2 linked regions of the Rattus norvegicus genome follow. The protein of the gene in region 1 interacts with the protein of each later gene in a pairwise test. Links are inferred from orthologs where the notes say so. Each region holds a gene or a part of one and is shown on either strand. Other genes may lie near its edges.

The links.
Region 2: the proteins of Clk4 (region 1) and Ubl5 interact in a two-hybrid assay, tested with the Homo sapiens proteins (2 studies listed by BioGRID and IntAct). The link is inferred for Rattus norvegicus from reciprocal best matches to the Homo sapiens genes CLK4 and UBL5.

What each region holds. Positions count from the first base shown.
Region 1 is NC_086028.1:36,031,974-36,036,269, reverse strand, and holds part of Clk4 (dual specificity protein kinase CLK4), read right to left. Parts: intron 3,252-4,296; exon of another isoform or gene 3,246-3,251; coding exon of another isoform or gene 3,193-3,245; intron 1,995-3,192; coding exon 1,772-1,994; intron 733-1,771; coding exon 642-732; intron 248-641; coding exon 181-247; intron 1-180. UniProt on the Homo sapiens protein: Dual specificity kinase acting on both serine/threonine and tyrosine-containing substrates.
Region 2 is NC_086026.1:27,458,061-27,462,515, reverse strand, and holds Ubl5 (ubiquitin-like protein 5), read right to left. Parts: upstream 2,852-4,455; 5' UTR 2,678-2,851; intron 2,463-2,677; 5' UTR 2,452-2,462; coding exon 2,396-2,451; intron 2,250-2,395; coding exon 2,166-2,249; intron 2,026-2,165; coding exon 1,988-2,025; intron 1,238-1,987; coding exon 1,194-1,237; 3' UTR 1,058-1,193; downstream 1-1,057. UniProt on the Homo sapiens protein: Ubiquitin-like protein that plays a role in cell proliferation and sister chromatid cohesion by associating with spliceosomal proteins. Participates thereby in pre-mRNA splicing by maintaining spliceosome integrity.

The DNA of each region.
Region 1 (4,296 bases):
CAGAGTAACTTCCACCTGAGAAAAACTGCCACCATTCACAATAAAACTAATACTCATGGCACATACATTACATTGCATTTCAGAAATTCTGTTGAATTTCTCTCAGGAAAACTTGTAGCAACCACTTTAAGTACATTGTAAAATATAGCAGAATGTTCAAAAAGGAAAAAGCAAACTTACATGCCATGATCAATGCACTCTACAACTTTGCCAAAGGCCCCTTCACCTAAAGTGTCCACGATTTCATCTAAAGTGAGGGAGAGAAAGAGAGATCTAAGTACTTTAGCACAAGTACCCAGCTGTTCATACAATGAATGCTTAAGTGTGGCATATTTCCAAATGATCTTTAGCAAAGCATAACTAAGGTTTCATCGCTCAAGTTATGGCATTTTCAGTTGCTACAAAGCAATTAGATAGAGCTATCTGTCTTGCTCTAATCTCAAACTCCACTGATTATCTTGGAATTTTAAGAATAGAAATATTTAAATTCTACAGAAAAGAAGAAATACAAAAGAACAAACAAACCCACAAAAAACAAAACAAAAAAGCAATGAAGAGTCTTTAGCCCCCCGCTGACAAACTATTCTTTAAAAGATTATTCTGTCTGCAAAGTTTAAAAAGTGTTGAAAAATATTCTATACATCTTGCTCTTAGAACGTCTCCACTTTGACAGATCAGGTGACCCTCCTCATCATCCTCTATACTCCTGGATCTTTTCCTTCGGTGGCTCTTCTGGAACGGCAAGTGGGCAGCACCAAGATCGTCCAGCCAATCAATATATCAGAGTGAATTCAGGGCAGAATACGCAATTCATTCAGCGGGGAGATATTCAGGCATTCAGATAAGCACCAGGCCACGAACAGTTGGCAGGAGCAATTTCAAATTCAGTCCCCAGAAATTCACAGGGCACAGTTTATGTTACAGAAGAAAAACATGGCAAGGAACAGATTTTCAGATAAGATACTTAAAGTGGCAATAGAAAAAAACAACACAATTGTCTCTTTAAAATACTGATTAATTGAAGTCTGCAGTCTACAGAATGCAATGTCACGAGTTACTAATTCTGCTATAACCATATGCTGTGAGCTGAGTTGTTCAGTCAGTCAGGAAAATGTCCACATTAGCTGAATTTGTTCTCTTTTAGCAACATTTAAAAGTGGACATCATAGTAAGAGGGGGAAGTAAAGACCAATTTCAATCTTCCATCTACTAACTGCTAGGTCTATTGAGAAGACTTGGGGGAGGGAAATGGTATCTCAAAGTTTACAAATGAAAGACTTTCTCAGTACATTTTCCGCTCAGCACCCAGGCTCACAGCTTCAGCAAATTAATGCAGACAATGATTTACTGTGCTAGGAGCTAGACTACACAGGAGTCAGCAACAGCTAAACACCCCAGCAGCGTGACTTGCCTGAGTTGTTTCCAACTACCAGTAAAGCAGTTTCTTTCAAAATAAAAAAAAACTTTACGTTCATAGAAGAAAAAATGGGTGCCTCATTTTTTAATACACTATACAACCACAAAATAAGATGTTCTTACTATTAAAACCAACAAACTCATGATCTGTTTTGCAGAATGAGTGTGTGGGCAAAATGAAGACTAAATAATACACAGGTGGTCAATTATGAGAACGTGTACATTTCCTTTAAGGATTCAAGTAACATGAATATAATTACAGCATATCCAAATTGCATTAAGCAACTTTTAGAAACTTATCACTCTTTTAGAGCTTTACGATCAATCCATTCAAATAAAAACAAATCACTCATACCGAATGTGACTGATGACTCGCACAGTGTCTGTTACGTTTTCTTTTAGGGCTGCTTCTCCTGCTTCTGACTGAGGATTTACTGCAATGGATCCGGTAAGTGCTTTCAATGTCTCTATGGTAATGTCTTGGAACATATCCTTCACAGTAGTCATTTCTGTATTCATCAATGTATCTCCGATCCCGATAATCTCTCTCATTCAAGCATCTTGCTTCTAAATAGTGACTGCAAACACATTAAAGGATTTCAAATTATTCTCTTCATTCTGGAATAATGTGGTTCAAACAAAACTTTCAAGAATTCTTGGTTTACACAGCTAACTCAATAAAAGGGAAAATTCAAATCAATGAGATGAAATTTATATGTATCTAAGAATGCTTAAGAAATAATTTTTAACCAAATAGGTCCATATTTTTTCCATATAAAACTGCTACAGCCAGGCATGCTTTAATCCTAGCACTTGGAAGATGAGGGCAGGAGGATCAAGAATTCAAGGCCATCCTGAGGTACACTACAAGTTTGGAGCCAGCCTGGGCCACAAGAAACCATCTCAAAAAAAATCCCATACATTAGAAATTGCTGTCAACCATTTCATACCAAGGAACAAAGCTTCAATTACAATATGCTGAAGATTAAATGTTCCTTTACCATCTAAAAAGTCAAGACCAAACTTTCGAACCTGTTCTGAAATACACTGATGGTACAACATAGGCAGCATCTGAAACTGGCTTCCTTTTCCTCTCTCAGAGCCATGCATTTAGAGAAAGGCAAAAGAGGATTCCTTTCCCTTAAACTAAGAGCAGTTTCAATATCCCTGACCAAGAGTTCTTCCAGAATGTGTGTCACAGACATGAGGAGCTTTAAATGTCTTTCAGCCCTTTTCATTTACTAACTGGATTAAGATCCCTAAATGATATAGCACTGTTGCAGAGCTTGCTAGTGGCAAAACCAAGGTATTTTCAAACTGCCACTCCTGCCCTATGTCATCTAATCTGTCTCCTCTCTTTTCTAAGTCTAAGCTTTCTATTACTCCTGTTTGAGAAACAGAGACCAGAACTTCTGAGGCCTGCCTCGTGTACCAAATACATCTAAACAGACCTTCTGTACAAGAAAGAGTTCAGGACTGTGGTCATCCTCCCACTCTACTTGCCTCTCTAATTTCCTGTGACTCTTGCTTAAAAAATACCCAAGAAACAGCAAACAGCATTTTCTAGTGCCACAGTGCATCTACAGATTCTCCAAGAACCTGAAGAAAGGTGCAGACCCTTTTCCCCAAGAAACGTACAAATGCATAAACAAAACTTGGCAAGAACTTCACGGAGGCCATGGACCTCAGGAAGTCAATGGATCCCAGCTGAGTGTCCTGATCTGATGGTAAGAAAAGGACAGATTCAATTGGCCCAGTTTCCCATCCCCCCTCTACCTGGGATGAGTGTCCTCTTCAACAGAGTGCGAAGCTTCAAGAGGGATGCACATGGAGCACTGGGGGAGAGAGGGGACACCTGCCCAGTCAGACAAATCAGCTAAATAATCCTGACAAGCAATGGAGTGACAGATGTTGCTGCACTGCCCCGCCAACCCCTTTACACTCCCCAGAATATGGTGTTATTTTCTTTCCTGGGTGCTGGTTTAAGCAGGAATAGAAATATCCCCAGGACTACTACTCAACAAGACTGGCATCTAATTCAGGCTGGGCCTTCTTATTGCCTAGTGTCATTCTCAAGTTCTCCTTAATTTTTGGAGAAACAAGTCAGGCTATTAGGATTAAACTCTGGGCCTGAGACAGTTGGTCTGAAGCAGAGATCTAGATGAAAAACAAGAAGCTAGCCACACTTCTACAGGCATCCTATTTAATTTTACAAAGTATCACACACCCACCAGATCCAAAGTCTATCATTAAAAAAAACTAGACTAATAATAATCTTAATGGGAATACACATGAAACTGGCCCTGCTGACAATCCAAAACAATCTACCAACAATAAAAAAAATGGGGCGGTGATACTATCAGGAGCAGAGCTAGCATGAGAAGGACCTTTCCAATTTATGACAACCAAAGACCAAAGTTTAGAGATTAAAGACTATAGAATTATACAAGCTGTGGACATGGTAGACAGAATCAACAGATTTAATTTTTTAAAAAATATCCACTAAATGCCCAGTAAAACTGTTAAGTGAATTGGCTTTTTTTATTTCCACACAGGTCCTATGGAAGACAAAATAAAATTATATAAGGCAAATTGACAACAAGTGAACAATTTAAGATTTCTCACAAAAAAAAAAAAAAGGAAAAAAAATCAAAATAGACAATGCAAAAAATGCTGAAAAGGTGCAAATGAACACTTAGGACTCAGGAAAGGCAAAGAATTCTATTTGCTTAAAATGATTAAGGAGGAATCCATGACAAAGATTGGAAGCAGATAAGCGTCTTAAAGGAAGGCCAGGATCTGGACAAGGTGGAAAGCAGAAGAAATTCCAGACCAACATAGTAACACAGTGCCATCACACACTTCCACTTACACAGACAG
Region 2 (4,455 bases), on another chromosome or scaffold:
AAAGTCTGTAAGTCACTTGAATAAATCTCATATAAAATATCCATCCTATCAGTTCTGTTCCTTATAGCTTTAATTAATATGGCTACCAGACTAGATATCCTCAAGTACAAGCAGAGAAAACAAAGACATGTCTCAAACAAGGCTAGAACTGACATCCAGGGTAGACCTCTGATCTCCATAAGCAGGCCATGGCAGAGTGCACACATAAAGCTCAAACGTGCACACTAAGATATAAGCTATCTAAGCTAGCTCAGGAGCATAACCAGCTTAGACTGTGCAAGGCTCTGGGTTTGAGCTCAGCATTGAAAAGAAAAAGTCACAAGAGTACTGTGCCAATATATACTTAAAGGTTCATTGGGTAAGAAGAGTATTACTGCCAAGCCTGATGACCCGAGTTCCAACCTTCAGACTGTCACAGTAGGAGGGGAGAACTGATTCCTGTAAATTGTCCTTTAACTTTCACATGTGCACTGTGGTACATGGATGACTGGCCCCACTCCATACACACATGCATATAAGTAAAAATTTAACAAAAATTCAAATCCAAGTAGTATATACGTAAATATGTACTTATTTATATATGTGGGTGTAATAGCTACTCTTGGTTGTCAAGTTGACTACATCTGGAATTAACTAAAAGCCAAGCAGGCTGGGCACACCTGTGAAGGACTTTTTTCTCCACTGAATCATTTAAGGTGGGAAGACTACCCTAAATCTGAGTCTTTTGAAATGGGAAGATGTAGTGGGTGGATGAAAATAATGCATGGGGCACCCATAGCTCCTGGCAATTCCTTAAGAGCAAAAATGAGACCATGGTGGTACAGGCCCTTTTCAGTCTCAGCACTTGCGAAGTGGAGGCAGGAGTCAAGATCATTGGTGGTACACAGCCAGTTCAAGGGTAACCTGGTCTATACAAGACTTCCAAGACAAAATTTTCTTGTTGAGATGCTAGGTGTGCACCGCCAGGACCAGCTTTCGGTCAGTCCTGAGTTCCCCTCAGGAGCAGTACCTAACAGCAGACACCAGCTCTCCCTCAGGACACAGCTCTCACACAAGCATGACAGCAGCAAAGCAGCAGCAAAATTTTATTCATGTGAACTGTTAAAAATGACCATCTATACCAGTGTCAAATGAGGGAGGGAGGGGAAGGCAGGGCAGAGCAGGGAGACGAGGGGAGGAGGGAGGAGTCCCCTCTACTGGTAATAAAGCTCCAGGTTCATCCCGTCGTGGATCTCATCTGAAGGGCAAGCATTAAGGAACTTTCACTGGGAGCTGATCTACCTTCCATCTACTCACAGCTGGGTCCTGTGGCTCAACACCCAGCCCTGGGTTAAGGAATGGACACTTTGATCTAAGAACTCCAAACTATAAATAATATTCAGTGGTCCTTAAGACCACTGAGAAGGCAAAGTTGTTTGCCACTGAAGCCTGGTGTACAGAGTCAAATCCTCAAGTGCCCCCACCCCATCATACACACAGAACAATACATTGTCAATGGTTATTCAGGCTGGAGACAGCTCAGCAGCTGAAGAGCTCTCAGGCCTGCTCTCCCAGAGACCTGGCTTTACGTCCCAGAGCTCCCGTGGTGGCTCCAGGGAATCTGAAGCTTCCTTCTGGTCTCTGCCAGCAGCAGGCATACATGCGGTGCACAGACATAATTGCAGACAAAAGATCCAGACCTCCCCTCCCCAAATTAAAAAAAAAAAAACCCAACCATCAATCCATCCATCCATCCATCTCCTCAACTACAGTCACACTCCTCCTGTCCAACACTCAAGTTGGCATTCAGTAAATAAGTATTTTGAACCAAGTATATTTCGCCAACGATCCTTCTCACCAGCAAAATAATTTCCACAGTTTCCATTTTCTCAGTAGTCATAATGGGGCATATTCTAAGTTAAGCATCCCTCTTGCTTAATTTCTGTACAGGTTTCAGCACAGAACCAGAACTTGAGATAAATACGTGAATTCTTTCTTGAAAGGATACAGTCTCCCAGAGACACGTGGTCTTTAAAAATCGTGTACCTACGGGATAGATAGCTTTCAGAGAGAAGCTGATAAGGGGTGGGGTGTTTTTTGTCCTGAAAACAAGCTCTTCGGGATTGTCTTGAGGTGCTCGCTCCAACGAACGCCCTCTAGCCTGATACTGACCAGCGCGTACTTACCACTTTTTAAGAACGATCTTATTCCAGCGGGTGCCAGTTTGAGCCGCTATCAGTTTCTTCAGGTCGCCGATGGTGTCATCGGTGCTGGGCACGAAGGAGTTAAGGTAAATGAAAGGAAAAGATAGACCGAGGAAGACGACTTCAGGCCTCCCCATAAGCGTCATTTAACTGAAATCATCCAATACCACCATCTGCCCCAGAGACCCTGCCAGTCACCCCTCGGTGGATACTTGCACTTAACGCGGACTTTCTTTCCTAGACGGTCGTTGCAAACCACCTCAATCATTGTGGCTGGAGCTACACCAGGTGGAGAAAGGGATGAAAAGCAGCAGTCAGGACTTCCAGGGTCGCCCAGGTTCCCAAAGCCCCTTCCTGGGTTAAGTTCTCTGGTCACACTTCCCCGAACACCCGACGCAAATCCTCTGCAGCCCCAGTCTACAGTTTCAATTGCGGGGACCACAGACAGTCGCGACTCCGCCCCTTAACTGCGGCAGGCCCAGCCCCAGACTCACCCGGCTTTGCCTCCCGCAACCCCTAGGCTCCCAAGTCTTGGCAGCTTCCCGCGATCTCCGGCCTCTCCGTTTAGCCTTCTCACCTCCAATGTCCTCGAACCTAGCGACGACACAACTTGTAGCTCGAACGCTGAATCCTGACCGGATTTAGGGCTGGAAACAGGAAGCGGAAGTGATATAACGGAAACACCGGCCCTTAGGTGCTTCCGGGTTCCGGGCTAGCAAAGATTTGCGATTCTGTTGCGCAGTCTGGAGGAGCTGAGACTGGCTAAGAGTGGATTTAAGCCGACGCTAGAACTGGTATTCCTTAATTGTGGAAGAGACCTAAAGGATCTCAGCGGCGGCGTGATCGACCATTTCCAAGCTAGACAAGTCTCCTACCGCAGAATCCCGGCTGCAGATGTGCGGAAATGGAGTCATGCAGGGCCTGTGGCTTTCTGCTTTCATTCAAAGCTCAGCCTCAAACCCCGTGCTTGTCTTTCCCCTCTGACCGTAGTGACCGTTTCAGAGACTTCAGGAGTGCAGACTGCATGATGAAAACTAAGTCGTATTCTGGACAGGAAGCCATGATGCGTTCCACTCCGCGTATCCGTGTCCTGCCTGCGAAAATGTTGGAAACAGCATACGGGGAAAGATCTTTTGCATTTGTTTTTAATCTTCAAGGAACACTTTGTTCCAGATTACAGACTCGCAAGAGCTGAAGGGAGAGGAATCCCTTAAATTTGACCAGTTTCGCCTCTATTGAGCAGACAGGACTTTTAGCAAGGTAAGCTTATATTGACTCAAGAAAGAGTCTACCCAGGGCCTTGTGCTTACCTAATACGACTTATACAAAATCTTATCCTTATGCGTAGGCAGCAAAAAGCATTACTTTTGCTTTCTATTGCGGCTTGTGGCCACGCCTCCCTGGCTTGGCTGTCCTGCTGGCTCCTCATCCCCATCCCAGTCACACTTTTCAGTTTCGAATGAAGTCCTGTTCCAATATCTCTTCTCCAATGCCTCGTTTCCGTTCCGAAAAGACTTCCCAGGCTCTACCCGACTCCCATATTGGAGAGTGAGCTTTGTTTTTCTTGTTTTGTTTTGGTATTTGTTTTAGTGTCGGAGGTCAAACCTAGGACCTTCTAGCATGTTAGCAGCCAAGGGCTCTCTCACTGAGCTGCACACGTAGCTCCTGGTTCAGCTCTTGTTTCTGTCTCCAGCGATGCTTTTTAGACCTCGTTCCTGCTCTTAATCATTACTCCAGTCCTAAGTCCCCCAGCTTCTCCCTTTGCCGCCCACCCATCCCCTATGTCGGACCCTGTTACGCCTAAGCTAGGTTTTTACAAACTTGGTCTTAAGGCCCAGCTAGGACTCCTGGTTCTTGAGCCCCTTCCCACACAAGTCATGGTTTCTGGGTTTGCTGCTCTGTTAGCTTTTCACTGCTCAAGTCATCTCTTCTGGATATGCGGTCTGGTCCTTGGATGATGTTTGCTTAGCAACAACCCTAAACCTTTTCCAGCTCAAGCCAAGCCTTCTCGGCTCTAGTCCCACAAAGACGCGCGCCTTGGTCTCTTCCTACTGAAGCCACGCCTTCCATTGTTACTGACAGCCTCCAATTTGCTCCTCTGCCCCTGGCCACACCCCTCCACTCGGCGGCGCTTTTTCAAATGCTAGTACTTTGGTCTCGCTTGCGACACCCGCTGCTCTTAGTCTCTGTCTCTTTACCTCTCTCCCGGAGTTCAACTTTGGGAGTTTGCTGCTTTTCCTCAGCCTGGCCCCCTGGCCTCCTGGCCCCCTGG